3 linked regions of the Sus scrofa genome follow. The protein of the gene in region 3 binds, or shares a complex with, the protein of the main gene of each other region. Links are inferred from orthologs where the notes say so. Each region holds a gene or a part of one and is shown on either strand. Other genes may lie near its edges. The genes, in order: UBA3, DCUN1D3 and UBE2F.

Evidence for each region.
Region 1: the proteins of UBE2F (region 3) and UBA3 are in contact, whole or in part, in a crystal structure (PDB 3FN1), measured with the Homo sapiens proteins. The link is inferred for Sus scrofa from reciprocal best matches to the Homo sapiens genes UBE2F and UBA3. Residues at the interface, in NP_001265234.1 of Homo sapiens: Thr27, Arg28, Arg29, Val30, Asp34, Lys35, Val38, Lys39, Val41, Ala42, Glu45, Val54, His55, Phe56, Pro57, Asp58, Pro59, Asn60, Leu62; in NP_003959.3 of Homo sapiens: Ala401, Thr403, Thr405, Leu406, Glu407, Gly408, Asn410, Arg411, Thr412, Ser417, Val418, Thr419, Ser420, Ile421, Arg424, Thr425, Gln442, Glu443, Ala445, Ala447, Asp448, Val449, Thr451, Pro452, Gln453, Thr454, Leu456.
Region 2: the proteins of UBE2F (region 3) and DCUN1D3 are in contact, whole or in part, in a crystal structure (PDB 4GBA), measured with the Homo sapiens proteins. The link is inferred for Sus scrofa from reciprocal best matches to the Homo sapiens genes UBE2F and DCUN1D3. Residues at the interface, in NP_001265234.1 of Homo sapiens: Leu2, Thr3, Leu4, Lys7, Leu8; in NP_775746.1 of Homo sapiens: Glu108, Glu109, Glu112, Pro122, Thr123, Glu124, Met139, Cys140, Glu194, Ile204, Ala207, Leu208.

What each region holds. Positions count from the first base shown.
Region 1 is NC_010455.5:50,484,340-50,493,952, forward strand, and holds part of UBA3 (NEDD8-activating enzyme E1 catalytic subunit), read right to left. Parts: intron 9,316-9,613; coding exon 9,235-9,315; intron 4,393-9,234; coding exon 4,349-4,392; intron 3,733-4,348; coding exon 3,668-3,732; intron 3,360-3,667; coding exon 3,204-3,359; intron 1,952-3,203; coding exon 1,849-1,951; intron 1,711-1,848; coding exon 1,597-1,710; intron 1-1,596. UniProt on the Homo sapiens protein: Catalytic subunit of the dimeric UBA3-NAE1 E1 enzyme. E1 activates NEDD8 by first adenylating its C-terminal glycine residue with ATP, thereafter linking this residue to the side chain of the catalytic cysteine, yielding a NEDD8-UBA3 thioester and free AMP.
Region 2 is NC_010445.4:25,182,219-25,191,831, reverse strand, and holds part of DCUN1D3 (DCN1-like protein 3), read right to left. Parts: intron 7,808-9,613; 5' UTR 7,703-7,807; coding exon 7,272-7,702; intron 5,436-7,271; coding exon 4,952-5,435; 3' UTR 2,169-4,951; coding exon of another isoform or gene 2,063-2,168; 3' UTR 1-2,062. UniProt on the Homo sapiens protein: Contributes to the neddylation of all cullins by transferring NEDD8 from N-terminally acetylated NEDD8-conjugating E2s enzyme to different cullin C-terminal domain-RBX complexes and may play a role in the cell cycle progression by regulating the SCF ubiquitin E3 ligase complex, after UV damage.
Region 3 is NC_010457.5:137,562,325-137,572,642, reverse strand, and holds the start of UBE2F (NEDD8-conjugating enzyme UBE2F), read right to left. Parts: upstream 5,390-10,318; 5' UTR 5,244-5,389; intron 5,033-5,243; exon of another isoform or gene 4,654-5,032; intron 1,041-4,653; exon of another isoform or gene 1,038-1,040; 5' UTR 1,022-1,037; coding exon 904-1,021; intron 881-903; exon of another isoform or gene 1-880. UniProt on the Homo sapiens protein: Accepts the ubiquitin-like protein NEDD8 from the UBA3-NAE1 E1 complex and catalyzes its covalent attachment to other proteins. Together with the E3 ubiquitin ligase RNF7/RBX2, specifically neddylates cullin-5 (CUL5).

The sequences.
Region 1 (9,613 bases), on a different chromosome or scaffold from region 3:
TGGTGAACTTGATGATCCTGGACAAAATTCTAAGAACAAACTGTGAGTGTCTACATCGGGAAACAATGACCACTAAAATTGAGCATTATGATTGTTCAGAGACAAGTCACAAGACTACTTCATATTTAGTTACTGGGACTAGCTTGGTAACCAGGGAAATGTGGAAAATAGTATATCCAGGCTTCAGCAGAGACTCTAAAAAGGTCTTTCATGACATCCTTGTGAAGAGAGCAAAGAAATATGAAGTACTCAAGAGGTATATATAGATCACTAGAATGAGACAAATCTAAAAGTGCCTGACCAGAGGTATGATTCAGATGTCTATTCTCAGCTAGTTTAGTCTTGTCAAAATGTTTAACTAGTTATTTGGAAAAGAGATACAGAATATGATTATTAAAACAATATGCGATATGTAGCTGAAAAGTATATACTAACTTTATGTGGCTTGGGCATAAAAGAATACACATATATAAAGAGAGAACAGTAGGTTGAATTGAAGAATAAAATCATAAGGACCTACACTTGAGATAAAACAAAACTACCACCCCTTAAAACTGCCAAATCTATAATAGAAAGATGTGACTTAGCAATTGCATATATGGAGAAAACCTCCAGATTTTAGAAGATAGTAACCTGAAAGAATTAAAAGCATAGCATCAACGTAAGCTACAAACAATTAGGAAAAAAAAAAAAAAAACCCTGCTCCTCCTCTAAGACTGCATTGATGATCGGAAGTGTCTTATCAGACACATCCCAGAACAACGCATTCTCACCTAGACAGTTAAGAGAAGTATGGATAACTAAAATATGGTTAGAAAAAACCAACATTATGGAGTATTGAGTCATGAAACATGCCAAAGGGTTAAAGGAACTAGTAAGGTTGGTGGGAATGCTAATGATTTGGAGGGTTCAATACTTTAACAGCTATTACTTTTTTTTTTTTTTAAGGGCTGCACCTGTGGCATATGGATGTTCCCAGATAGGGGTCAGATAAGAGCTGCAGCTGCTAGCCTATGCCACAGCCATAACAATGCTGGATCCTTAACCCACTGAGCAAGGCCAGGGATCAAATACGCAACCTCATAGATATTAGTCAGGTTCTTTACTGCTGAACCATAACAGGAATTCCTAAGGGCTATTATTTAAAAGAGAATTAAATTTATATATGGCAAATCTTGGGAAAATATTCAGACCTTATACAATACGGAGATTTCTGTTCAATATATAGAAATGTCTTAACAATAATGACCAAATGTGAAATAGACTGCCCCAGGAAGGGATGAATTGCTCTTCAGCCGAAGATAAAGTAAATGATTTGACCTAGATGAGTTAGGCCCTCTTCCAATCCTAAGTAAATACGATTCAATGATTTCACTAAATTCCTCCTGGTTAAGAAGTAGTATGGATTCTGGTGAACTCAGTTCCCTCCTACCAAATTTGGGACACCTGGAAACTATTATTTCCATGGTAGCTTTACTAAACCTCAAATGGACAGTACTATCCAAAATCACTTATCAGTTATTTCCTTGAAAGCATTCCAATCCCTGAAAAGGGGATCATTCTAAGAACATAATTCACGACTATTCACTAACTTACCTTGAGTGAGTCTATACGTAACACCTCTAATATTATATTGTGATGCTCTCTCTAGGGATTTTTGGAAAATCCACTGAATATGGTCAGGATCATCTCCATCTAATGGAACCCCTTCTGTTAGGGGAAGGAAAAAAAGGAAAGGAAGACAGAAACATGTAAACAAAGACCAACTTATTTTTAATGTAATTTTCCAAATAAATAACATAGACAAATATCTTACGTAAATCTGGATTGTGAAATTAGGTTTATTACCTCCAAAAGGCTGCTCCTTAGGCCACTGCAATATCCTTACATACTCAATACAGTGCTCTGGTAGCCTGGGCATAGATGCAATGGTGCACATGGGAAAATTAACCTAAAACCACAGTTTTCCTTTTTTAGTGGATTTAAACAATAAATTATTTTAAAATGTAACTTCCGGTTGTGATCTAGTTTGTAACCATTTTCAATAACTCATCTTAGCCCTCTATTTACAGAAACAAAACATTTTATACCATGAAAATGCCATTTAGGAGTTCCTGCTGTGACACAGTGGGTTAAGAATCCGACTGCAATGGCATGGGTTGCTACTGAGTTTGATCCTCAGCCAGGCACTGTGGGTTAAAGCATCCGGAGTTGCCACAGCTGCATCCAGGGATTCAATCCCTGGCCCTGAGAACTTCCACATGCTGCGGGTGTGGCCAATAAATAAATAAATAAATAAAATGAATTTGAAAATAACAGATCTTCTGAGTCACTCCCCTTAGCTTGATCTGCCTAAAAAATAGGTCTGCTCTCCATTTACAAAATACATATAAATTTAAGCTTTGTTAGAGGAAAGGGCTGAATAAAATCTCGAATTGCTATGTTTACCTAATATTTATATCTGAAGGTATAAAATCAACCAAAACAAAAGAAAATTCACAGTGTTAAAATCTGGAGTTCCCGTCGTGGCTCAGCAGAAACAAATCTATTATCCATGAGGACATAGGTTCAATCCCCGGCCTTGCTCAGTGGGTTAAGGATCTAGTGTCACTGTGAGCTGTGGTATAGGTCGCAGATGCGGCTTGGATCTGGCATTGCTGTGCCTGTGGCGTAGGCCAACAGCTATAGCTCCGACTGGACCCCTAGCCTGGGAAGCTCCATATGCGGTTGGGGCAGCCCTAAAAAGACAAATAAATAATAAATAAAATAACTTTCAAGTAAATACTAATAATTATAAATCAAAATTTCAAATGTCCTTAAGTGAGTATGTAAAGAGCCCCATCTTTGGAAATCATTCTCATTCCTGGTATCTTTACCTCCTTGAAAAGACAAAAACCAAAGAAAATAGATTACAGCTATACAATATATAACTTTGTAATTGATCCTTTGATCCCTACTCTCCAAATAAAAAAAATACAAACGAATTATGAAAACAAAACAGTATCAAAATGACGTTATTCTGTCTGTATCTTTCCTCAAACAGAGCAAAATTTCATGCTTTATCATCTTTCTTCTTGGGATGATTTTTTAAATATGGTACCCCATATCTAGAAATTGTAAATATTGACTAGTCTTTCTTAATAATTCAACCCTCATTCCACCCCGAGATACTATAAAATAGATACAAGTGTTTTTATGATTACCTGCGGTGGGTACAGTTCCAGTGTGCATTCAATACAAGCAGTCATTCCTGGGAGAATTACTCGGGCATTTCCTTTAAAACCTTCTGTCCCCCCATCTATCAAAGGGACAATGGAGCTTGGATCTAATACACCATCTTCATAATTTAGAAGAGATATCTAGAAAAATTATTTGAAGGATTTATAAGGAGAACGGGATAAGAATTCAAAAATAAAGAAAATGCTATCAAGTAATTCTATGAGTCAATCACACTGTTGAGTACTAATATATCAAATCAAGGGACTATTTTCTTAGCAATTTATGTCCTCACCTGAAAATTAATGACTGGCAATATAATCACTGGACTATGTCTATCATTAAAAATTAAACTGTGATTTCTCAAAAATATGTCATGAAAGTCTCGTTTTCAGTCTGTTAAAAGCAGCACCAAGAACCTTAGAGAATCGTAACAACACTAAGTCTTTACCAGCATGCCATTTATCCATCTTCTGGCTATGATAGAGTCCAGTCCACATACAATTATATGAAATTCTACAAGAAAAAAACACAAATTTAGTTTTTTAAAGTATCACAGCACAAAATAATTCAATTTCTAAGAAACAAACAAACCCATTTTTCACTGTAATACACACACAGCTTCTAATCCTTGAGTAATCTTTACTCAAGACAGAATACAAATATGTGGCTAACAATGCCAACTAGAAATTCAAACAGTGGCATTCCCTTTCCGATCAATTGACAACCTCCTGAAAAGTCAACACCAAGAAATGAAGGCAAAGAAAGAAACAGCCTTCAAAAAGCTACCAATCTTCAGGAGTTCCCATTGTGGCTCAGCAATAACGAACCCGACTAGTACCCATGAGGATGTGGGCTTGATCCCTGGCCTCGCTCAGTGGGTTAAGGATCCAACATTGCCATGAGCTGCTGTGTAGGCTGCAGAAGTGGCTTGGATCTGGCATGGCTGTGGCTGTGGTTTAGGCAGGCAGCTGCAGCTCCAATCTGACCTCTAGCCTGGGAACTTCCATATGCCACGGGTGTGGCCCTAAAAAAGACAAAAAAAGAAAAAAAAAGCTACCAATCTTCAAATAAACAGCAACTAAAAACAGTAAGAATTTAGGGAGAATTTAACTTCAAGTGGAAAACTTACGTCGATAGAAAGTGTCGTTAAAATCCTGAATCTTGTTGAAATGTCTGAATACAAGTAAAGGAACTTAGGCTGAGTTTTTATCTTATAAAGTGAATTTGACAATGCCATAAGGATCACATTATAAATGTATATTTAAAACAAGACATAAGTCATCAATGTTCAAAGCAATGGAATTCAAGGAATCTGACAAAAAGAACACAACCCTAGCTCTCAGAAAAGCTTTTTCCTAAACACTCTTCCCCTAACTACTTAGCTTCTCTCATCTCCAAATCCCCATCATTATAATTCTGTCTCTGCTATACTTTCTATTCTGCTTCAGTTTTTATATAAAACTGTAAGCCCCAGGAAAGCAGAATGCACATCTTCAACCACCAGGACCAAGCTAAGCAGCAATTAACATTTGTTTAGTAAAGGAAACAGACATTGTATTTCCCATTTTAGAAAGGTGATTTTAGGAGTCAATATACTACACAAAATAACAAATTGCACACCTTAAAATTATACAATGTTATATGTCAGATAAGATCAAGTAGAAAAAAAAAGTTACCACAAAGCTAATTTTAAAAAAACAGAGGAGTTCCTGTTGTGGTGGTAACGAGTGGTAACGAACCCGACTAGAATTCATGAGGACATGTGTGTGTTCGATCCCTGGCCCTGCTCAGTGGGTTAAGGATCCAGCATTGCCATGAGCTTCAGTGTAATTTGCAGATGTGGCTCGGATCTGGCATTGCCACGCTGTGGTATAAGCCAGCAGCTGCAACTCTGATTAGACCCCTAGTCTGAGAACATTCATATGCCACAGGTACAGACCTTAAAGTGAAAATATAAAAATTTTTTAAATAAACATAATTTTTAAAAATAGATGTTTTAAAAGCTTTTTCAAGTACTTACTGGTCATTGGGTTTTGTTTTGTTTTGTTTGGGGGTGGTCAATGAATTCTTTCTCCCTCTCTTGTTTAACTCAGTATTCCAAATCTCTCTCTCCTTACCCAGCCCACACCCTATCAGCAGTCTTCCCCAGTCTGGAGGGTGCCAAGGGAACCCCATCCAAATTGGTGGGGAATGTGAATCACAGTACGTAGCATTTGAACAGAATATCTACAACAAATTTTTTTTTTTTTTTCTGTTAGGAGCAACAAGGACAATATACGTTTGCTCTAGATTTTTTTATTCTAGCCTAAAAATAAAGTTATGAAAATTCTAGTTCTCACCCACTCAGACCTCTATTCCTCTGGAATGCCAGACAAACAAGAGACAAAAACTACAGCTAGAAAAGGGAGGTCAACGATGGAGAACAGTATAGAGGTACCTTAGAAATCTATACATAAAACTACCATATAACCCACTATTATTGCTATCCCACTCTTGGGCATATATCTGGACAAACCTTGCCTTAAAAAAGACACAGGCACCCACATGTTCATTGCAGCACTATTCACAATAGCCAAGACATGGAAACAACCCAAATGTCCATCAACAGATGATTGGATTAGGAAATGTGGTATATATACACAATGGAATACTACTCAGCCATAAAAAAAATGACATAATGCCATTTGCAGCATCATGGATGGAACTAGAGACTCTCATACTGAGTGAAGGAAATTCGAAAGATAAAGACAAATACCATATATCACTTATATCTAGAATCTAATACATGGCAAAAATGAACCTTTCCACAGAAAAGAAAATCATGGACTTGGAGAACATACTTGTGGTTGCCAAGGGGGAGTGGGAGGGAGTGGGGTGGATGGGGAGCTTGGGGTTAATAGATGCAAACTATTGCCTTTGGAATGGATTAGCAATGAGATCCTGCTGTGTAGTGCTGAGAACTATTTATAGTCACTTATGATGGAGCATGATAATCTGAGAAAATAGAATGTGTACATGTATGTGTAACTGGGTCACCATGCTGTTCAGTAGAAAAAAAAATGTATTGGGGAAATATCAATTAAAACATAAAATAAAATAAAATAAAATGTTAGGTAGGCTAGGAAAAAAAAAAGAAAGAAAGAAAAGGCAGGTCAAAAGAGAACCAGAGCAAACAATGAAGGAACAATAGGAGATAGAGGAGCAAGGCCAAGAAATCCCATCTCCTAGAGTTCTACAAAACACCCAAATTTTCACAGATCTAAATAATGGGGATGGACAAAGAATGTGAACACTTGGGAAAAAAAAAAAAAAAAAAAAAAACCCTCTGTTTCTCCCTATAGAGATCTGTATTCACATTATTGAACTTTTTTATTTTTATTAAGATAGTACAGAGGGGTCCCACATTTCCTTCACTCAAGTTTCCCCCCAATGGTTACATCATATACCTACAGCACAATATCAAACCCACAAACACAACATGGGTACAATGTGTGTAAGGTTGTCATTCAACCACATGTAAAACTGTGTGACCACAATAAAGATACACAACTATTCATCACCACAAAGATCTCCCTCCAGCTACCCCTTTTACAGTCACACCTATCCCCTCAACCATCCCTGATCCCTGGCAATCACTAATTTGTTCTCTATCTAGATAACTGTCATTTGAAGAAGGTTATATAAATGTAATCATACAATATATGACTTTTATAGACACTGGCATTTTTCATTCAGTATCATGTTCTTGATATCCATCCAAGTCATATTTCATTAATTGTACTTCATTCTTTTTTATTGCTCAGTATTATTACAAGGTGTGGCTGTTATCACAGTTTAACAATTCACCTAGTGATGGATATTTGGGTGGTTTCCAGTTAGAGGGTACTGCAAATAAAGCTGCTGTGAACATTTGAGAATAAGTTTGTACGTGGACATAGTATTCATTTCTCTGGGGTAAATACCCAGGAATGAAATTTAGTCATATGGATGGTACCTGTTCAGATTTTTAAGAAACAGCCAAATTATTTTCCTGATGGCTATATCATTTTACATTTCCCGTCAGCAATGTACGAGTAATCCAGTTTTTCTATACTTTTGCCAAAACTTACTGATATTTTTTATTTCAGCTATCCTAATAGGTGAATAGTAATACCTCACTGTGATCATAATTTCAATTTCTTATACCTCATGATTCTGAAAATCTTTTCAAGTGATTTTTGCTATCTTCAGTGAAATATCCCTTAATATTTGTTGTCTATTTTCTAACTGCATCGTAATTTTTTACTGTTGGGTTTTCAGAGTTCTTTATATGTTCTTGATTGAGTCCTTTGTCAGAAACCTACTTCGTAAGTATTTCGCAGTCTGCAGCTTAGCTCTTCACCCTCTTTACAAGATCCTTTACAGGGCAGAAGTTTTTACTTTTGATCAAAATCAATTTAACATACTTTTTTCTTTAATGGCATGTTTCTAATGTGGTCTGAAGACTCTTCATCAAGCCCTATGTCTCAAAGATTTTTCTTATATGTTACCTTCCAAAGTGTTATATTTTATGCTTAAAACTATGATGCAATTTGAGTTGTTTTGTTATTTTGAGGTTTGAGATTCACTTTTTTGCCTAGTGACATCTGATGGCTTGACCACAATTTATCAAGAGATAGTCTTCCTCCCTTGAACTGGCTTTGTACCTTTTGTGACTATAAACTGGCCACACCTGCAGGAGCCTACTTCTGGTTTCTCCAGTCTGTTCTGCTAATCTCTCTCTGGCAATACCACACAGTCTTGATGATTGTGGCTATAGAGTAAGTCTTAAAATTGGATAGTGACTCCTTCCACTTCGATCTTTCTCAGCATTGTTTTAGGTGTTCCTTACCCTTTCTATCAATTTTAGAATAATCTTGTCTGTAGCAACAACAAAAAAATGCAGGCACTTTGATAGAAATTGTGTTAAACTTATACACAAATTTGGGGAAAAATAACATCTTTAGTATGTTGAATTATCCAATTTTTGAAAATAGAATATTTTCCCATTATTTAAATCTTCTTTGATTTCTTTCTTCAGCATTGTGCAATATCAACATACAAGTCCCATACTTATTTTGTTACATTTACACCTAAGTGTTGTTCCTCCTTTTCTTTTGAGTGGTTGTAAGTGGCACAGTGTTTTAAGTTTCAGTTTCCATGTGTTCACTGCTAGTATATAGAAATACAAATGATCTTTGTATGTTGATTTTTGAATCCTTCATAGTAAATCCCATTTCCTGAATTTCCATGATATACTAAAAGTTCCCCATATCCAAAGGTATAGGAATTAATAAAGTGTGTATACTCCTTTTTTAAAACATATTTCTTGTAAAAATAAATTTACTCCAACATGTCTTCCACATTTGGCTAATAATAACGCTGACTCTTTGCTGTAGTAAGACACAAAGATTAACAGGATCCAGCCTGTGAATTTAGAATCTAGTAGAGGAGACATACCATTGAAACTAAAATTAAGGGCAATAATGCAAAACAGAAGATGGCACTGGCTACATAACTAGATTTTAAAATTACAGCCAGGAGTTCTCGTCGTGGCTCAATGGTTAATGAATCCGACTAGGAACCATGAGGTTGTGGGTTTGATCCCTGGCCTCGCTCAGTGGGTTAAGGATCCGGCGTTGCCGTGAGCTGTGCTGTAGGTCACAGACTGGGCTCAGATCCGGCATTGTTATGGTTGTGGCGTAGGCCAGGCAGCTATAGCTTTGATTAGTCCCCTAGCCTGGGAACCTCCATATGCCGCGGGTTCAGCCATAGAAACAGACCAAAAAAAAAAGCATATAACTTTAAAAAGAAAAGATTGGAAGGACATAAAGCAAAGTGTTATCAGCAGTTATCTCAGTAATAATAAGCTCACTGCTGCTGATTTTCCTCTTCTTTTTGCTGATCTGTATTCTCTACGCTACAACTCTTTTACAATAATTTTTTTTAAAGCTTCAAAAAATTAAGTATTAAGTAACTTATTTTTCAAAAGGATACGGAACTACATTGCAATTAGGAACTCTGTCATTTAGAAATTCTGCAGCAACTTCAGCCTTAGGTCTTCCAACATCTTTAGGCCTACAGGAAAAATTATATTTCAATTATCATTCATGATACAAATCTACATGATCTACATAATCTACTTTCAAACATAAAAATATCCATGGTGAGTTTATCTGGAGGATATTGAGAAGGAATATTTTTACCTAAGTATTTCTGATGAATAATTAGCCATTCAACACTAAATGTCAACCCCTGGTGCTGTTTTAAACTAAGTATTTACAAGTATTGACAAATCTAAGTATTTAAGTGAAAATATGAACAACAGTGGTTTTTTTTTTTTTTTTTTAAGGTAAAGCATAACAGCATGTTCCCT
Region 2 (9,613 bases), on a different chromosome or scaffold from region 3:
GTGGGTAAATCTCACCCCAAAATGAAGTCATTTTTTTGTTTGGGGCTTGGTTTTGGTTTTTGTTTTTTGCAGAATTGTCAATAGTCAAGTAAACAAATTTATTAGGTCCAACAGCAGGTTACCTTCCAAATAAAAAAACATCAAAAAATGTAGACAACGACAAAAATGTATATAACCAGTTAATAAAAATATCCAAGGGGCCATTTGGAGAGTGCAACAGTGCAGAGAATACAAAGTATTGACTTTTGTCAACAAGTTTGTACAACTTCAAGGAGCACACTGGTCACAAACCAAGAGGAATCCACAAACGTGGAGGGTCACTCATCACCTCAACGAGTTAAGGCAGGGTATCTGTAGGACCAATTTCTCCAAGCCCCATTTGCCTATTGCTTCAAATTCTCCCTTTGAAACCTAGAATCATTCATTAGTGCAACAGGTATGAGCAGTTAATCACAGACTTGGGGCTGGGACCAGGAACAGAGGGAAGACTCTTCTCCCAGAATAAATGTTTTTTTTGGGGGAAAAAAACAGCAGCTGCTGAGTGGCTTCCTTTGGCAATATCCAAGATTTGTGTCCGGAGGTGGGTGGTGGAAGTGCAGGCTGGCTCAGTTTCCAAGCAGAGGACAGGGAGGATATCATGCCCCAGCACCTGAGTCAGAAGCAGGATCTGATGGTTACTCAAAGCTATTTGAACCAACCTTGTTTCTGCAACCAGTACTCAATTTTGTCTTTCAGTGAAGAAAAATACCTGTAGATCCTCGCTGTGATGTAACGCCAAATGAGGTTAACCTGGGTGTATGCTATAATTACAGCTTAGCAAAGGAATAAACTCTCGAGGGGGATTGGGTGGGAACCTTTATATAATTGAGAAAACAGACTGTGGGCTAAGGAAGATCAGTGTCACAGGTTCTCAAATGAGTCCCCATTAACACTTTAATAACACTTTAATGGCCTTTTCAGTCCACTTTGTTTAAACAAACTGCTGGAGTCCCCCAAGGAAGAGCTTTGTCGAGCTTTGTCAGTTAAAGATGTCCAGGTCATCATTAACCAAACGTTAAGACACAAGAAAAATGGCAAAGCAGGTGATTACAGCAAGAAAACGTAGCAGCAGCTTCCTTCCAGCCCTTATAATTGTTGTATAATTGGGTCTACCTTTGAGCTTCAGGGCACTGAAGACTGTCTTAAATGTGGCAAACCAAACACAGTACTAAATACAGATTTTCTCTTTTGTTTTTTAAACTTTTATACCAAGTCCTTATCCTAGCGATTTTCCACCACTGTTTTATACAATTTGGCATAATATAGGAAGCCATCACATTAACCCTACAGGCTCCAGCCTGAGGACTGAATTTTGGCATCAGTCCCTAAAGACCAAATAATAGTGTGTGGCTTAATCCTTTCTTCCTTTCCTGGGTGAGTTTGTGCCTTTGTTAGGGAAGTTTAATATTGAAAACACTGTCTTGTACGTTTTCAGTTGGATTTCCTTGTGCCTGTGGCCTTTGTTGAAATTTGGATCTCTACCCAGCTCTAGCTTTTCCTTCTAATCAGAAGGGTAGAAATGGGATCTTGGACCCAGCTCACATATGGGCACATCTGGCAGAACTGCTGAGGCAACTAGTTGAAGCATAGCAAAATGTCATTACAGGAGGTGGGGTTAAGAATGACACATTCAAATTTGGCAGGGATGGGGAAAGAGCAATTCAGTGAAGCAACTTAATCTCATATAGCTTTCTAATCAATTGCTAAAGAAATATCACACACAGTCACTTGCCAAAAACAAGCAATTTCCCAACATACCCAGTTCGTTGTAGTCACTCAGATATCTGCATATTTTCAAAATAGCATCCACATCCTTCCTGTCTCCACACCACGACACCACTCTGGTGTCCTGTTAAAGTGAAGAGTGCACTGGCTTACCTGAGGGGCATGCATTGACCTCCACACAATTACTGCTCATTAAGCAGTAAAGCTACTTCTAGGCAAAGAGGAACAGGGACCTTTCATTTCCCAGAAGTGTAAATGCAAACTTTACATACGTTCTCTACCTTGGATCTCTCTGCAGCAAAACTGCTTTTCCTATTGTCAAGAAAAAAGTCAGGCATTGGCCCAGGCTACTGCAGAAGCTTGAATTCCTTGCATCAAGGACACATACCTGGAAGGAGACTTAAGTCCCTCCCTGACCATTCTCTTTTCTGGCTTCTCATTTGCACATTTTTGTAACATATGTATCATTAAAATACAACCAAAAGTAAATTTAAATGGCTCTTTTGTGAGGGGTGGGAAGCTGAATAGTTGAATTAAAAAAATCCACACTTTATAGCATACTTAATGAATGGCATGCCTTCTTGTAGGCTGAGGAAGTCTACCTCTTTTGGGCCCTACTTGCCATACACCTTTTTTTTTTTCTTTTTTTTGGGGGGTCTTTTTAGGGCTGCGCTCACAGCATATGAAGTTTCTAGGCTAGGGGTCGAATGGGAGCTGTAGCTGCTGCCTACACCACGCCACAGCAATGCAGGATCCGAGCCTCTGACACCTACACCACAAGCTCACAGCATCACTGGGTCCTCTAGCCCATTGTGCAAGGCCAGGGATCAAACCCATGTCCTCATGGATACTAGCTGAGTTCGTTACTGCTGAGCCACAACAGGAACTCCCATATACCCTTCTGATCTGAGACAGAAAATCCTTAGCTGGCTAGGAGCAGCCTACCTTTACCCTTATTCAACCTCTACCCAATCGAGAATCGGAAAAACTGGGTGAGAAGGTGGTCTTGTTAACACCTCAGTCTAGGGACCCCGACTACAGCTGAGCCCACAGAATCTGCTGGGACACCCAGAAACTTTTATACAAGGATCTTGTGTGTTAGCATCTGGACTGGGGCCCTGTTCAGCTTTCCAGCAGTATTGCTAACCTATTATAGCTGACTTTAAGTGATTTTAAGTTTCCCATCCATCCTGTAGAAGGGGCAACTGTTAGGATTTAAAAAAAAAAAAAGAAAAACTTCAAGTATGTACTCTATGTCAGTGCCAATTTTAGAAAAACTGTAGAAACTCCTTAAATCATCTTTGTAAAGATGGGAGCCCAGAGCCATAGGCTACTAATAAAAGAAAATAAGCAATTCCTGCCCAGGCTGAGAAACATGCCTGGAGATGGGGGTCCAAATGTTTAATAAATTCTCATTACCCCAAGAATATAAATATTTTTATAAGTTTTTATTTAAAAGATTCTCTTTTCAGTCTGTTCCAAAGTGTTGGAAGCTGAACTGTACAAGTTCCTCCCACCCACCCCTCCAGTACAGTTTCATGACTTTTTTTTTTTTAAGTGTAAAAATAACAAGAGGACCCTCTACTGAAACAAGGGAGGACCAGTCAGCTCCTGTGTGGCAGTTTGGCCAAAGCTGGCCTTACGGAGCGAGCACTAGGGAACTGAGACTCCCTCTTGTGAGGAAAGGGCTGAGAAATTTCATCTTCAGTGAAAACAGTCCAAATTCAGATTCAAAACCTCCTTTATGATGTTCCCTGGCACTCTTCTTATACTTTTTTATATTGAAGGCAGCTCCCTTTTATAGCCAGTTTTAGCAGGCAAAGAAAAAAAAATAGATACATATATGTGTATATATATATATTTTATATAGGTAAAATATATACATATCTTATATATGTATATATACATATTTGGGGGCAGGGAAAGGAGAGGAGAGTCATGTAAACCTAAACAGTCATCACATACCCCAAATGAGCCTGACAGTAACAAAGAAGATAATAAATAACTTCTGGGGGTTAAGTGACAACATGGGTGCAGCAAGAAGGGAAAGGGCACACATTTAACTATTAAATACATTTCTATATTTGTTTGGCAGAGTTCAGGCCAGCCCCAGGCTTCTGCACTTGCCAGACAAGTAAGCTGATGATACTCAAAAAAATTAAAAAAAAAAATTCAAGCAGAGCTCCATACCACAGTTTTCCTTCAAGTCAGTTGGCCGGCAGGCACAGTTTGCCAACCACCAGGAACAGAAACTTTGGCTCCAAGGCAAATGAAAAAAAAAAAAAAAAAAAAAAAAGTATTTCCACTTACAACATGAAAATACAGAAAATTCATCAAAGAAAGAAAACTATCAAAGTCTACTTCCAGCAAAACTGAGGTAGCACTGCTTTCTCTGCATTCGATGCTTAAGTGGTTCTCAGTACAAGGTGTTCTAAAAAAACTGCTCACTTGACTGACAGGTGCAGCATGTTGATGGATAAACTCAACATGAAATGCAATAGGTCAAAGGAGGAATGAGCAAGAAGTGAGGAAAATAAGGATTTCAGATAAATTAGCTTAAAAGGGGGTTGTCCCCAGACTACAAATGCCCTTGGCTGGCCTTGGCTCTCCAAGAGCTTTAAACTGCCTGGGAATTAATGCAATGTGGTTAACAGTTAACACTGCTATTCAATTCTGCATAATGTTTAAAAATAATTATTACAACCTAAATTCAACCATGTAAACAGCACTACACACAGTACAGACCTGCCCTGAAAATCAAGAATATCCAAAACTGAGATCTGGCACTGTGTCATTTTGTAATGATAATTCAACCTAACTGTCCCATTCCCCCCTCCCTGCTCTACACCCTCCCCCGCCCCCCCAAAAAAATCTAATTTGTGCAAGAAATGGCAGGCTTATTCTATCTGAAGGCTTAAAAAAAAAAAAAAAAAAAAGATAAACAACAGTTAGCCAGGTTCAAATATTTTGGGGGAACCCCCCCAAAAAAGAAATAACCAAAATAACCAAAAAGTGAAGAAAGTGCCTAAAACATGATACAGCATTTTAGAGCCCTTTCAGATACAAGGCAGAGAAAGGTGTAAAGTAGAAAATATCCGGATCTTCAGCAAATTCCAGAAAGGTCCAATTCCTCAGTTGGCTGCAGGGCAGCGGGCAGATCCGTGCTGCTGCGCCTGGGACAGAGCCACTAAGTCTGCTCCGCGGGACACAAGCCCTCGGGCCCTGAGCTGAGTGCACCTCTCCCTTCCCCTTCTCTTTTCCTCCGCTCCATCTCCCACTCCACAAAGGTATCGAAGAGACTTGGCCAGGCCTCATCTTCGCTGTAGTTGCTGAGGTCAGGGCCAATCACCTGAGTGAAGTTAAGGAACATGTTCCAAGTGTCCCTGGAGATGCCCTTGATCCCCGAGGGGTTCTCTGTTAGGAAGTTTAGCCACTGGTCCAATACCGGGGGATTGTTCTGGGTAAAGACTAGTTTCCACAGGGCAATGGCTATTTCCCGATGCAGTGACCGCTGCCCTTCTTCAGAGTCCAGGCCGAACTGAAATGTAAACCGGTAGAGATCCTTGAATTTATCCTCTTGTTTGGCTTCTGTTAAGAGGCTAGGGAACCGTGCACAGATCCCATCAATGCTGTCTGCACTTATTGCTTTGCAGCCATCAAAAAACTCCTTCCTGCAAGAGGAAAGAGGGACACAATAATTGTAAATAGTATCACTTACTGAGAGGCAATATAGTATTAAGAGCATAGCTGTGTGGCTGGCTGGCTAGATTTGAATTCCCAACCCCTCACTAACTGTGGTCCTACTTCCTCTCAAATGGTGAGAATACTACCTTATTTCATAGGGTTTGGATTAAACAAGTGAATATGTCAACTGCTCCTAACAGTGACTGGCACATGGTAGGCAGCTGATAATGGTTCATTCATAAGCAGGTCTCCTGCTCTGTGCCCTATTTCCCGCCCTGCAATGGTGATTTAAGTTACAGATTCTCCTCCCAGATGGGGAGAGTCTCTTCCTGTTTTCCTTTTGATTCTCTAGGGGTTGTTGGGGAATTTTTTTGGTCCCTGCCAAGGGAAATTTCTGGAGCCAAGATTCTGGATGAACCTGGGTAACTCTACCACCAGAGATCAAAGTTCTGTTATTTCTAGGGCTGCACCCACGGCATATGGAGATTCCCAGGCTAGGGGTCCAATCAGAGCTATAGCCACCAGCCTACACCACAGCCACAGCAACTCGGGATCCGAGCCGCGTCTGTGACCTACACCATGGCTCATGGCAACACCAGATCCTTAACCCACTGAACAAGGCCAGGGATCAAACCCACAACCTCATGGCTCCTAGTTGGGTTCGTTAACCACTGCGCCATGACAGGAACTCCAAAGTTCTGTTATTAAAAGACAAAAATTGGGAGTTCCTGTCATGGCTCAGTGGTGATGATGGCTGACTAGTATCCATGAGGACGCAGGTTTGTTCCCTGGCCTGGCTCAGTGGGTTAAGGACCCGGTGTTGCTGTGAGCCGCGGAGCAGGTTGCAGACTCGGCTCAGATCCCGTTTTGCCGTGGCTGTGGGGTAAGCCAGCAGCTGTAGTTCTGATTGGACCCCCAGCCTGGGAACCTCCATATGCTGCAGATGAAGCCCTAAAAAAAAAAAAAAAAAAAAAAATTTTGTGGGGAGTTCCCTGGTGGCTCAGTGGATTAAGGATCTCATTCTGTCACTGCTGTGGCACGGGTTCCATCCCTGGCCTGGAAACTTGAGCATGCCACAGGTGAGGCCAAAAAAACCCACAAAAATTGTGTATCTTTAATATCTATATAATGCTTGCAGTTGACAACACAGTCTCACAGTGATAATCTCAGAGATTTCTGTATTTGCTGAGAAAGAACATCTGAGGTCTGTTGTCAGGTAACCTACCCAGGGGCAAGAAATGATACTGAGAGGTTCTCAAAGTCAATTCTTCTTCCTTTATTAACTCAGTGCTCTGCAAACCAAACCTTAGGGTGGCCCTGCCGTGCCATCTCCCACACACAACCTCTACAGGCATGCATGACAATGTACACAACTACTGCTTGACACTGGGGCCAGCTGGCACATAGGCTGGCTAAGGGTTATGTGTGGAGCCAAAAGGGGCAACTTGCTTCATGAAGTGACTGAGGCATATCCCCAGTGGCACTCACTATACTGGCACTCACAGTGCCTGACACGTGATAAGTGAACAATAAATATCAAGTGAGTGAGGACGTGAGTGAATTTACAAGAAAAGAAAGTCTAGAATAGCAGTGAGCGGGGCGGCACCTTGGCAACGTGGATTACTCCTCATTTAACTTCAGACAAAGATGACTGGTTGCCCAGTTCTCCAGAGGCTGAATAGCTTTAGAGAAATTGGTCAGAAAAGGAAATTAAGATTTACTCAAACCCCTCAGAAGTCAGCCTAGGTCTATCCTAGCTGGACACCACTGCTCAGTAGGCCTCTCTCACCTCCTCTGCTCACCTGCTGACCCTTGGGACTAACCTGGTGAATTTGCACATGGTAGCAGCCTGGAACTTCCAAGCCAAGAGCAGCACTCGAAATTCCGTGGGGTCCACACATAGGTCATTGCAAAAGCGCTCCATGCCTTCCTCCAAAATTGCATCCTCCCGCTCGTCCTTATAGCGCCTGAACAGTTCTTCCAGCCTCTGTAAGGAAGACTCCTCGGCATTTGACTTGGGCTCCCTCCCAGCATCTCCCGAGGACGTTGGCAACTGGCAGGCCTCAGCAGCAGCCTCTGCCTTCTTGGTCCCATTGACGAGGATATCCCCACCTGGCTTGCCACAGGCTGGCAGCTGTTCCTCGCGGTGGCCTGCGCCCCGCCTGCTGTATGACTTGCTGCTGGGGTCACGGTCTCCATTTTTGCTACCCAGAGTTGATGAGGGATTCTTGCACTTGGTGACACACTGGCCCATGATGCTGGTGGCCTGACCTCTAGAGTGGCCCCCTCTGGACTGGATGCCCTCGTTGACACTGGTCCATGTGCCTCAACATGCCATCAGCCAGAGGAGCCAGCCAACCTGGAAAGAAATTAGGGCATGATCAGCACTGGACAGAGAGATGCAGGATGCAGGCTCCTCTCCAGGGCCTGTGCGTTGGGACAGCACTGTTTCAGTGAACCAACCATGAATCAGGGGAGATGCCCCAAGTTCATCACTATCCCCTCTTGCAAGCTTACACTTTCGCCTTGGAAATGCAAAGGCTAGAGCACATATGGAGAAGCATTAAGGAAAATTCCTAAAATTCTTAAGGTAACATAGATCCCAAAGAGATTGATTCACATGCAGGACACATCACGGAAGGCAAAGTGCCCATGCAACACAGCAGGTTAAGGATTCAGCCTTGCTACAGCTGTGGCACAGGTGGCAACTGCAGCATGGGTTTGACCCCTGGCCTCAAAACTTCCACATGCCACAGGTACGGCCAAGAAAAAAAGGAAGACTAAAGTTTTGCCAGAAATACTCCAAAGGAAATTTATCTTGCTAACTTGCCATCACATAAGAAAGTTACTTGGAGCTGTGTTAACTCAGAAGGTGCAAGTAAAATGTCCATCCTCTCGTCTCTAATGTCCAAATTCTCAGATTTTCTTTTGATGTAGGATGAGTGGTGGGGGAAAAAGGGGTGGCCACATCCAAAACAACTGTATGGTGTCATAATGGCCCAAAGATGTAAAGAATTTGCAAATTCAAGGCTATAAAGAGAATCCTAGCCAAATAACAAGGTAAAATGTCATCTAATTTCTTCAAACTCCTTTCTGGGACCCACCACACATAGATGAAACACCCGTTCTCCACCCAGAGGAGCCGTCCATCAAGGCTGTTCTCTACACCAGGGGTCCCAGTCACTGATTTCTTTACCCCCCTCAGCAGGTGCGGTGTGGAAGGAAAGCCAAGTTCGCACTAAACGTCAACGTCCTATAGGGCCCTTAGTCTTCCAAGATGCTGTCTCCATTGTAAAAGAAGGGCTGGGGAGTTCCCGTCGTGGTGCAGCAAAAACGAATCTGACTAGTAACCAGGAGGTTTTGAGTTCGATCCCTAGACTCCCTCAGTGGGTTAAGGACCAGGCATTGCCGTGAGCTGTGGTGTAGGTCACAGACGCGGCTCAGATCTGGTGTGGCTGTGGCTGTGGCGTAGGCCAGAACTCTGATTCGACCCCTAGCCTGGGAACTTCCTATGCTGCGGGTGCAGCCCTAAAAAGCAAAAAAAAAAAAAAAAAAAAAAAAAAAAAAAGGCTGATTTACCCAATTATTTAGAAATAATTGCGAAATGAAAAAGAAAAGTCTGCACTGATACGTAACAAACTCATCACAGTAGTTTAAGGAACTAAAAAGTGTTTTTTAAAGAATTGCTAGAAATTTCTGGGTCAGGGTGAGGTAATTTCTCTGAAGACTATCAACTCTTTCAACTGGTCTGCTAGAAGATCCATCTATAATTTAGTACTTGTAAAATTTTGCCACCTTCTCAATAATTGCAGCCTTGAAATTATAACATTAACAGACATTTAGACCAGGAGCCAGAAGTAAATTTTCTCCCAGGGAAAGCAGACCAAGTCAATGTCAGGCTCATGCCTCCCAAGCTGAAGCTCTCATGGACCCTCAATCCCAAGTCAAAGCTCTAAGGAGACTGGCGCTGGGGCAGAGGGGTGCTTTTAATGGAAGGTTGGAGCTTTAAACTTTACCTGGAGAACGTGAGCTTCCTCCAAAGAGTGCTTGGATCAATTTGGAGGTATCTTCAAAAGGAATTCTAAGGGTAAGTTCTGAGTGTACAAGTTTAAAACAAAGACCAGAACCATTCCTATAGTTACTGCAGTCACATCATATCAGGGTG
Region 3 (10,318 bases):
TTTCCAGCCCACCCCTTCACAACCTTGGCAGAGCTGTTTCTGAGAAGGTCCAACACAGCGCCCGCACACTCACCCGGTCCTCCCATTAGCCCTGTTCCTAGACCTGCAAACGCCATGGCACCCACCTCACTCAACCGGAAAACAGGCAGTTCTAACCAACTACTTAACCCTCTGTGCCTCCTGGCTCCTTATACTAAAAAAAGTACACATGTCACAAAGTAAGAAGTGCTGCAAACTCTCAGTGCCTTAAAGGCAGAAACTGTTTCTTCATCGTCGTAGCCTCAAGTCCCCAGGAAACTGCACTCAGTAGCTCTAAGTCTGGTCAATGAATAAACGCAAAAGTTCCAGACAAAGGCTCGCATATTGACACACACACACGGTATAAACCCTTCCCCAAAGCCTCCGGCCCTAGGACACTGTGTTATCACTTCTGAGAAGAGAACGGATTTTGCACAAGCCTCCCCTCAGGCTGGGAGGGTCTTAGGAGACGGCCACGCTCCACTCCTCCCTCTACAGATCAGACGCTCTGGAGCGAGGCGTCCGGAAGAGAGAAGAAAGCCCCCCCGCCAAGCACCAGCCAGGGAATGACAGCGCCGAGACCAGAGATGTGAGCCCGCTGGTTCCTGGCACCTATTCCTCCCACTGGCATCCTGGCAGCTCCTGCAGAGAACAGTCCACGTGCAGAAGACACACCATGGTTTTAATACCATTTTCTTGCCACGAGCACTCCCATGGTGTGTGTGCAGTACGAACTCCTCTGTCGTAAACGATAATCAATTAATATTTTGAAATATTTTCAAACAGGTGTTTCTATTCAGCAACAGGCTGCTTCGTTTCCCCGAGCGCCTCCGGCCAGGCCTCCTTCTGTTTGGGGTATAAAGCTGCCCACAGGGTGGTCACTACCTTTAACAAGCAGCCTGTCTCGCACAGAAACCCGCCGAGTGGAGTCGGAGGCTGCGGGGGACGCCCGGGACCCCTTGAGACCGTCGTCCCGCTTCAGTTTGCTCGCCAGCGTCAGCATTCCTGCTGCCTTTACCCTGAAAGACCAAACACAGGGTGAGGACGCATCTCCGGACCGTGGCTGGACAGCGAAGACAGTGATGTCAGGGGGGTTTAATTGTTTCCCCATAATTTAGCACGTAAGGTACATAAAGAAGACTAGAGTCCTTCGTAATGAATCTGGGGGTTCTCTATGCCTCTCTAAATATGATTTTCTAAAGTATGAATGAAAGTTTCGCTTGAAGAGCCAAGCACATAGCACTCGGTGGGCACCAGGCCCCGGCATGTAGCAGTGACCATGCTCCCCGAGCTCATGGTCTAGGGGAGCCTCTGCTGACGGTTCTACGGGGGCCCAGCACAGCCCACCGGTATGTCCGCCCTTCCTGCCGTGGGGACCAGGCACCCCCGGTGTGGCCCCAGTGCCTGGCCCATCGCAGACGGGGGGGAACGGGCTCCGGTGAGGAGGGAGCCTCGCTTTCTCTCCTCCTTCCTTTAATAAAGGTGTGGCTGGACCCTTAATAAGCACCTTCACATTCACGTATGTTGTGCTGTATTTACAGTGTTAGGCAATCTCAGCATAATTCAGTTATAATTAGTGCCCCACACTGGATTCTTTTCACTGGCTGCTTCCCACCCACCGAGTTTCAGGTGCCCTCTCGAAAGCTCACTGGGAAGGACCACAAAGACCAAACACAGGGGATGCACTGACCACTTGGGAGGAAGGACTGAAGGTGTCCGCAGCGTTTACAGAGGGAACCATCCTACCGAATCTGCCTTCTCTACGTGAGCCACCCTTCACCTGGCAGGCCTCCTAGCCCTTCTCGCTTGTTTTACCAGCTGGAGAGAAGTTCTGGAACTTCTTTTGATTGAGGATGAAAATTGGTCACCAGCTCAACATTCCCATACTTTCCTTTGTGGCTTTAACATAATTTCCTTCTGATACCACTCTGATCATTTTCAAAAGAAAATGATCTAAAACTTCCGGATGAAAAACGGACGTGAGCACACAACGCTTGGTTTGAGTTCAAGATCTTTAAAGGCGAACCGTGAGAGTAACCTACTCCCACTGGTATTTTTAACCACTCTAACCCAGGTCCTCACAGAGCTTTTACACCATCTTCTGTGTACCCTCCAGCCCTTAAAGACGGTCGGACTTCATTTTCTGTTATGTGTACCATGAAAACAACGTATTAAATATGGCCTTTTGAACTAACTGCACAGGACCCACGCACAGACACACACACGCCTGGTCCCCTCATGCACCCCTGGTCTAAGTGCTTCAAGAGACAGTTCCACCTGACAGGAGCGCTCACAAGCTCCTAGAATTTCCAATCTGGGGAGGACTTCTCCCCCAGATCCCACTCTTTGTCATGGGTGTGGACCCTGGGACACCTGGGGCCCAGGAACTGGGCTGTCGGAGGCCACTCAGAGGCTACAAGAGGTCACCGCAGACCCGCTCGTTTCCCTCTGAGGATGACGGGAATGTTTCCGCCCCGAACAAGGGGGTGATTTCAGGCTATACACACACCAAAGTCCGATCAAACTGCATGTTTAAATATGTACAGGTCAGCGTGCTTCAGCTGTCCCTCAGTCAAGGTGACGAGACGTGACAGTTTCTTCACTCCCACTCTGCCACGCTCTCTCCTCAGCTGGACCTACACGGAGGACCAAACCACCAACGCTCAGCTCAGCTTCACCTGCGGCAGGAACCAGGGGCTCACAAAGGAAGCTCACCAGGGAGGGCGCCGGGGAGCCAGGAACGCCTGTGGGGGCTCAGCCCACAAGCCACCAGAGGCCGCAGCACCGTCTGGAGCCGGGCGCTCCTGGTCGGCCTCCACCCGCACCATCTGGCCCGCGATCCCTCGCGCAGGTCTGGATCCCAAGCAGTGTGTCCCCCCCCCCAGCAAGCCCCTGCCTCGCACCCACGCCTGAGCACATGGATGCGTCGCCTGATGATAGGCCGAGAGATGCAGCTGTCACAGGTCCACTTGGTCTTCAGCCGCTAGCGGACCCTGGCACTACGCACACGGCCAGCAACAAAGCCCAGCACCGGTAGAGAGAGCTCGGCAGGCGGCAGCCCGGGAAAGTCCTCCTACGGGGCCCGGCGGGAAAGCGGGTCCCAGGGCACGCGACTGGTCCACGCTCAGCTCCTTGAGCACCTGCACAGGAGGAGATGCTCAGAGGGTCCCGGCAAGACTCACACACACACACACAAAGGCTCACACCCGGACACTCTTCCGTGTCGCTGCAGTTGGAGGTCCCTGCTTAATTCGCGTCTCCTCACTACCCCATCCTGAACTCTTCGCTGCAGGCAGAGTGTGCCCCATACTCAATCCCATTTTGAGTCAGACTGCTGGTTTGCAACTCTCAACAAGTTTATGGCCCTTAATAAAATACACTGGGCACTGGCTGTGCAAGACAGAAGAAAATAACACCGGTGCTTTGTTTTCCTCAGGAAGACAAGACTTATTTTCCTAACATTCTAAGCCATCTACACACGGGGACCATCTATCCTCCAGCGCCTGTCCCTCTCCCACACACGCCACTTCGGGACAAACCAAAGGTCTAATCTGGGACTACTTCAGCTGTTAAATTAAGTCTATACAAAGAGATCTGAACAAAAATAATTATTCAAGCTGTCAATTAACGGAACACCTGCAGTTTGCTTCAGAAGTCTCTCCTTAACTATGCTTCCCGCCTTGCAGGACTGGTTCAAAACTAAGCTTCCCCTTCACTGCAAATGACACTTTGACGAGGGCAGCATTTTCAGTAACAACAGATCAACTACACAGAAGAGCACCCACAGTCTCTAACTCCACTAGTTGAAATCGGGCCATTTAAGTTCTTCCTCTGGGCGGGACGTGCTCTCAGACTGTTCAGAGATTCTGCTGTGCTATTTCCTAGTCTCATCCTCAAGTGTTTACTCAGTGCTCCTGCCCGTTGTGGCCAAATCAGGTCCGGGTGACCGTCAGCTCAGTGGGTGGGGAACTCCTCGTTTACAATTCTTCCTGCCCTGGACAAGTCCCAATCGAAGCTTAAAAGATGGAACTGCAGGTCACTAGGGGACAACCCACATCTCCAGCCAAAGCGGCCCAGATCGGGACACACAAAAGTCCACACCCCACCCTCCCTCTTTAAAACGCCAGGGCAAGGTGGCTGGCTGCCCAGTGACCTTTGGAGCCCAGCCCTTTAATTTTAGCGGTAAACCTGCCGCCTCCTGAGTGGCAGCTGTGTCGGGGGTGGAGGTCCTCAAGTCCAGACCACCTAGGTGGCCGTGGTCTCTCTCTCTGAACACGGCTCCCACCATTCCGGTCCCCTGCCTTCACCCCCTTGCCCAGCCAGGGGCCTCTGCACGAGGGAGGTGGGCCTCCTCCGTGTTCCTCGCCAACCCCGGCTCATTTCTGGAAGCTTCTGCTCAATCTGATATCCAGGTCTGGAAGGCCCTCCCTCCCTTCGCCGCCCCTAATGCTGCTTCTTTAGGATAACAGGCTCCTCCATCTCCTCCACGAAGCCTTCTCTGGCCACTCCAGTCCCTCCCGACCCCACTCCGGCGCTGGACGGAGGCAGAGAGGGGCGGGCCCGATCCGCTCCGGGGACAGAAGGAAGAGGCAACCGCGACCCAGGGAGCCGAGGGCCACACCCAAGATTACACACCAGCGGAACCAGGTCTAGAATCCGGGACTGGGCCGTAGGGATTGGTCCAGGATGTCCTCCCCCATTCTGGGCCCCGGCAAGATCCTCCACCCTAGCCGTGCTGCCCCGGGTTGTCCGGAGGCCGCCCGCAAGTTGGCGGGGCGGGAGCCCGGCTCCTCCGCACCCGCACCGCCCCCTGGCCTAGCCCGATTCCCCGGGAGGCCGGGAGGCCGCCCGCCCGCGCCCGACTCCCGCTGCCTCCGGCCACGTCGGGCCGGTGACCTTGGGCCCGCTGGGCGCTGCGCTTCCTCCCCGACAATGCGGCCGCAGCTCCCCCGCGACGGCGGCCACAAGCGAGGCCGTGTGTGCCCGGCACAGGTCGGGGCTCCGGGAGGGCCGGCCCTCCAGCCCCGCCGCGGCCCGCGCCCCGGCCCGCGCCCCGCAGCGCCCGCCCACCGGCCCTCGGGCCCCGGCGCCCGGTCGTGAGGAGCGGCGCGGCCTGAGGCGGCCCCGGCGCCGCCCGCCCGCCGGGTGCACCGGCGCCGCGGGAACCGAGCCGTCCTCTGGCCGGCGGCCGCCCCTCGCTCGCCGCAGGGCCGCGCGCTCCTCACCTGGGCACCCGGAGACAGGCGAGGCGGGACCGGCGCCCAACACCATGCCCGGCCGGCCGGCGGCGGCGAAGCGCAGCCCCTCACAGCAGCACCGGCTCCGGGCGGCGGGACCGGAAGTAGCGGGGCGGGGACTCTGCCGCTCTCGCCCGCGGCGGCCGCAACAGCAGCTGGCGCTTTAAAAAAAAAATTCAAAGCCGCGAAGAACTTTATTTAGAGACTGACACGCGAACAGCAGAGCCAGCGGGCCGGGGCCGGGGTAGGCAGCCGGCAGATCCGGCCCCTCTCATTGGCAAGGAGCGCGGCTGGGGGGCGGGCACGAGCCTGAAGGCCTCCGATGATTGGCCAATGGCGTCCGGGGGCGGGATCTCCAAGTCCTTTCCGCAGCGGCGCGGGTTCCTTTGCGCTGCGTTCCTGCTTTCATTCATTTGGTCGTTTGGTAGGCCTGGGCCTGCGGCTCAGAGGTTCCCCGCGCAGCGTGGCCTGCTGGGGCTGCCAGGTCCGAACTGACTGCCCCGGTGGATGGGGTGCCCGCTATGTGCCCATCCCAGGGCTCAGGGTGCAGAGGACCAGGCCGCCCCACAGTCCGCGGTGTCAGGAGTGAGGGGGGCGGGGCGATTAGACCTGCAGCCACCAACCCCCAACCCCGGGAAGCCTCGGGGAGCCTGCAGTGGAGTGGGTGGGCTCTTTCCTGTTGTCTTAGGGTTTATTCCTTCTATTATCTCTTACACTTCCGTGACGTACTTACTTTAAAAAAATCCATTTCAAGTTGTTCTAATTTCTGGTTTGCTGAGTACTAATTATTCTCAAGTTCAGGTGTGTCTGGTTAATAGGTGCTCTGGCGGGGGTCGCCAGCCTCCTGGAGGAGTGAGCCATCTGAGAGAAGAGGTTCACCTCGTGGACGGGGAAGAAAGAGGCAAGGAGTTAGAATTTTATTTCCAGAAGTCCCACTGAGAGGTTTTAAACAGTGGAGTGGCAATTTCAAGTTTCTTTTCCAAAAGAGCCTTCTGGCTCTGAGGGAGCTGGTGGGAGGGGAGCCAGACAAGAGTCAGGAAGACCAGTTAAGAACAAAATTCATGGGATTCCTTCTGTCTGGGAACAGCTTCGTCCATCTTCACTGGGCTACCTCCTAAATTTTCCCATGCTTGGATCCACCTGCTCCGAGTGGTAAGGTGCAGGTGCCCCTCTGTGACTTTGCTGGACCTCCGTGCTCTCCTCTCCCTGGTGCTCAAGACTGTTGATGCCCGTTTCCCTATGCTCAGCTCCTCAGGCCTCCTCATCTGTGTTTCCCACCCTTCTAACCTCCTCCCCAAACCTGGTACATAACCGGGTCAAAACACATTGCTGGATAAGGGCTGCGTGTTTGTAGCCAGAGTCCTGGCGAGAGAAGATAAGACCTTGAAGCAGGGCAGCGAGTGAAGGCACACGTGGGTTGGCTTGAGCGCTTGTCTTACTAAGGAGAATTGTCTACACACCGTTCTGAGCCCACAGTGGCCCACCTCTCACTGCTGTGGGCAAATGAAGCCGCTTCTAGCTCCATTTCATGAGGCTGCCTCGTGCCTTCACCCGAGCCTTATTTAGGGTTTACTAGGCTCGGAAGTCCTGTAATCCTCACAGCAACCTCATGAAACGGGTATTTTATTATCTCCACCTTACAGATGAGGAAGCTCAGAAGTTACGTGTCTGCCCGACATGGCAGAGCTGGGATTTGCCCTCAACCAGTGCACCACGTCCCTTGGGCAGCAGGTGCGGCCATCAGCCAGGACTGCGGCAGAGTTGGCGTCCTGCTTCCTGGAGAAGCAATTTGTTTTCAACCAGGGCTCTTTCAGAAACAGAACTTTCACTGGCTTAAGCACAAAAGATTCAGAAGACTAGACATGCTCAGAGACTCTAAGGAGAGAACGGGGAGCCTGGCCTCCAGCTCTCAGTGCCTCCATCTGGGTCTTGGCCTGGGACAGGGGCAGTGGCGGGGCTGGCCTTCTCCTCCCAGATGCCTCCAGAACTGGGGTCTGGCTTCAAACACACCTTTATAAACCAGGCCATAGAGGGGCCGTCTCTTCCCTTCCAGTTTCACATTCTCTGGGAGAGAATGGCTGGGTTCAGATCATGTGCTCACCGTGTGTGTGTGTGTGTGTGTGTGTGTGTGTGTGTGTGTGTGTGTGTGTGTGTGTGTGTGTGTGTGTGTGTGTGTGTGTGTGTGTGTGTGTGTGTGTGTGTGTGTGTGTGTGTGTGTGTGTGTGTGTGTGTGTGTGTGTGTGTGTGTGTGTGTGTGTGTGTGTGTGTGTGTGTGTGTGTGTGTGTGTAAGCCCATACATACAGGAGGAGGGGGAAGAGGACCAATTGTGGGCCTACGATAGGGAAGAACCTTTGTATTCTGTTACAAGTTAATCAGTAAAGGCATGGTGCCTATAAGCTTAAATTATACACAATGGCCCATCTCTGGGGACCTCGCCTCCCAGCAATGAGCATCGCACTCAAATGCCTTTGTTTCCTTCCGAGGAAACCTCTGACCAGGCCCACCTGTGAATGGCTGCAGGCAGGAAGAAATTAAGAGACCCCTCCAGAGTCTGACAGAACCAGGACTTTTTACTATAAGAGAACCCCTCCCCTTTTAGTATAAAAGAAGCCTGAATTCTAACTCCGGGAAGGTGGTTCTTGCGACACTTGTCCACCGTCGTCTCAGTCCGCTGCCCTTCTGAGTCAAGTTGCTCTTCTTTGCCCCAGCAACTCAAGTCTTGATTTATTAGCCTGCTGTGCAGCAAGCAGCACGAGCTTGGACCCAGTAACGAGCCTCCAAGGGGGGTACTGGTGCCAGTGGAAGCCCAGGGGGACACAGTGGGCCTTCACGCCTCCCCTGAGAAGCTCGACCCAGGGCCTCCGGCGGGAGCGTGGAAGGGGAGATGCCCCTATCTTTTCAGCCATTCCTGCCTCTGGACACCACTGCACGAGCTGTCCCAGGAGCTGTCCAGGCCTGTTCTGGGCCTCCCTCACCAGGTGACAGGGCACCCTTCAGCCTGGGGCAGCCTGCCAGCTGCTTAACATCGCCTGGGTGTCTGTGAGGTCAGGGCAGGGCCTCGGGGAAGCCCCGGGGGACGCCTTCGTTAGCCATCCACTCACTCTTCCCTCTTGCTCATGCGGGATGGGGCAGAGCTCCCCCCATCAGTAGCCCCCCATCAGTGTAGACATTCCTGGCACCATGCTTCGGTGGGGGATTGCCCTGAGATTAAACCCGGCAGCAGAGCCAAGCCCCCCTGGTCCAGGGCTCGTGTCCCTTCCGCTGCCCCACACTGTCCTGGGGACTCCAAGCCTCCACCAGGGCAAGACCTTAGCGATGCTCCAGTTGCAGCCCCCTGCCTGGGTGGGAAGCAGCCTGGCAACACTAGGTGTAGAGGAGACATGGGGGAAGGGGCCAACTCGGCCCTCAGCTGGCACCAGCTCCACCTGTTCGGGTATTGCTCCAGGTTATCCTGGGGCACACATCCTACCTCCAACCCAGGGCGGCTCTCCTGGGGAGCAAGGCCCAGGGCACTGAAGAGTGGGCCTGGACACACACAGGCCCGCGCCCCTCCAGGGTCTTCTGAAATCGGTTTCAGTAAGTCAGGAACCATATGGTGAACTTGAAGGGGACAGAACGTACCAGGCGCAGACCCTGCCCTCTGAGAGCATGAGCTCCTTGGAGAACTGGCACTAGGTAAAGCCCCATGGAATGGGGGGATACAAGTGGGACTCCCAAGGTTTGCACTGCACAGGGGAGCTCAGTCTCCATCGTCCCACCTGAGTTTAGAGACTTGAAGCAGGGAGAGAGGGAGGGTGGCTTAGAGGCCAATGGGGAGGCTGAAAACTATCAGTGAAAAATGCCGCTGCCACAGCAAGAAACAAAGGAGCTTGCAGCCATCAAGTCACCACATTACAGCCGCCCTGACGAGACTCAGGATGAGAAAGTGCAGGATGCTGGCCCGAGGGCTGAGGGCCCTTATACAAGCCTCAGCCCCTCGGCCCTTCTGCCATGTGAGGACACAGAGAGAAAGTGGCCCTCTACGAATCAGAAAATGAACCTCAATGGATACCAAATCTGCAGACACCTTGACCTTGGACTTGCAGCCTTCAGAGCAGTGAGAAATACATTTCTGTTGTTTATAAACCTCTGGACTGTGGTATTTCGATAAAGCAGCCTACGTGGACTAGGATGGGGAGACTGTCCTGAATTATCCAGGAGGGCCATCAGAGTCACAACGTCCTCATGAGAGCGGGACCTCCGAGTCAGTAGCAGGGATGTGACCAGGGAAGCAGAGGGTGGGATGACTTGAGCAAGGGGACCGAGCGAAGGAGCCCCAGGGGCCTCTAGCTGAAAACAAGCAGGAACACATCTCCCCTGAATCCTCTGGAGGGAACAGGGCCCTGCTGACCCCTTGATTTTGGATTTCTGATCTTCAGAACCACAAGAGAATAAATACAGGTTTTGAGCCACTGTTGGTCATGGCACCCATAGGAAGCCAATGCACCACATCACCAGGAACAGGGCTGGGAGTGGCTGCTGGTGGCTTCACGGGCAGCCTGGGATCTAGGCATCCAGGAAGCCCCCCTGGAGGACTGGGCAGGTGCCATCAGCCCGGGGCTCATCATGACACATTCACAGGGATTCAGGATGCTCAAACCACTGTTGCAGTGAAGTACTGTAGCCTGTGTTTTACATTTTGTATAATTTCTAGAGTTTTCCTGGCTCTAAGTATCTGACATTGTCCTCTTCAGAGAGTGCTATGGGGAAAATGCCACAAAAGACTGTTCTCTCTTTAAAACACCCATGATTGAAAATGGACATCCGGAGTTCCCGTCGTGGCGCAGTGGTTAACGAATCCGACTAGGAACCATGAGGTTGCGGGTTCGGTCCCTGCCCTTGCTCAGTGGGTTAACGATCCGGCGTTGCCGTGAGCTGTGGTGTAGGTTGCAGACGCGGCTCGGATCCCGCGTTGCTGTGGCTCTGGCGTAGGCCGGAGGCTACAGCTCCGATTGGACCCCTAGCCTGGGAACCTCCATATGCCGCGGGAGCGGCCCAAGAAATAGCAACAGCAACAACAAAA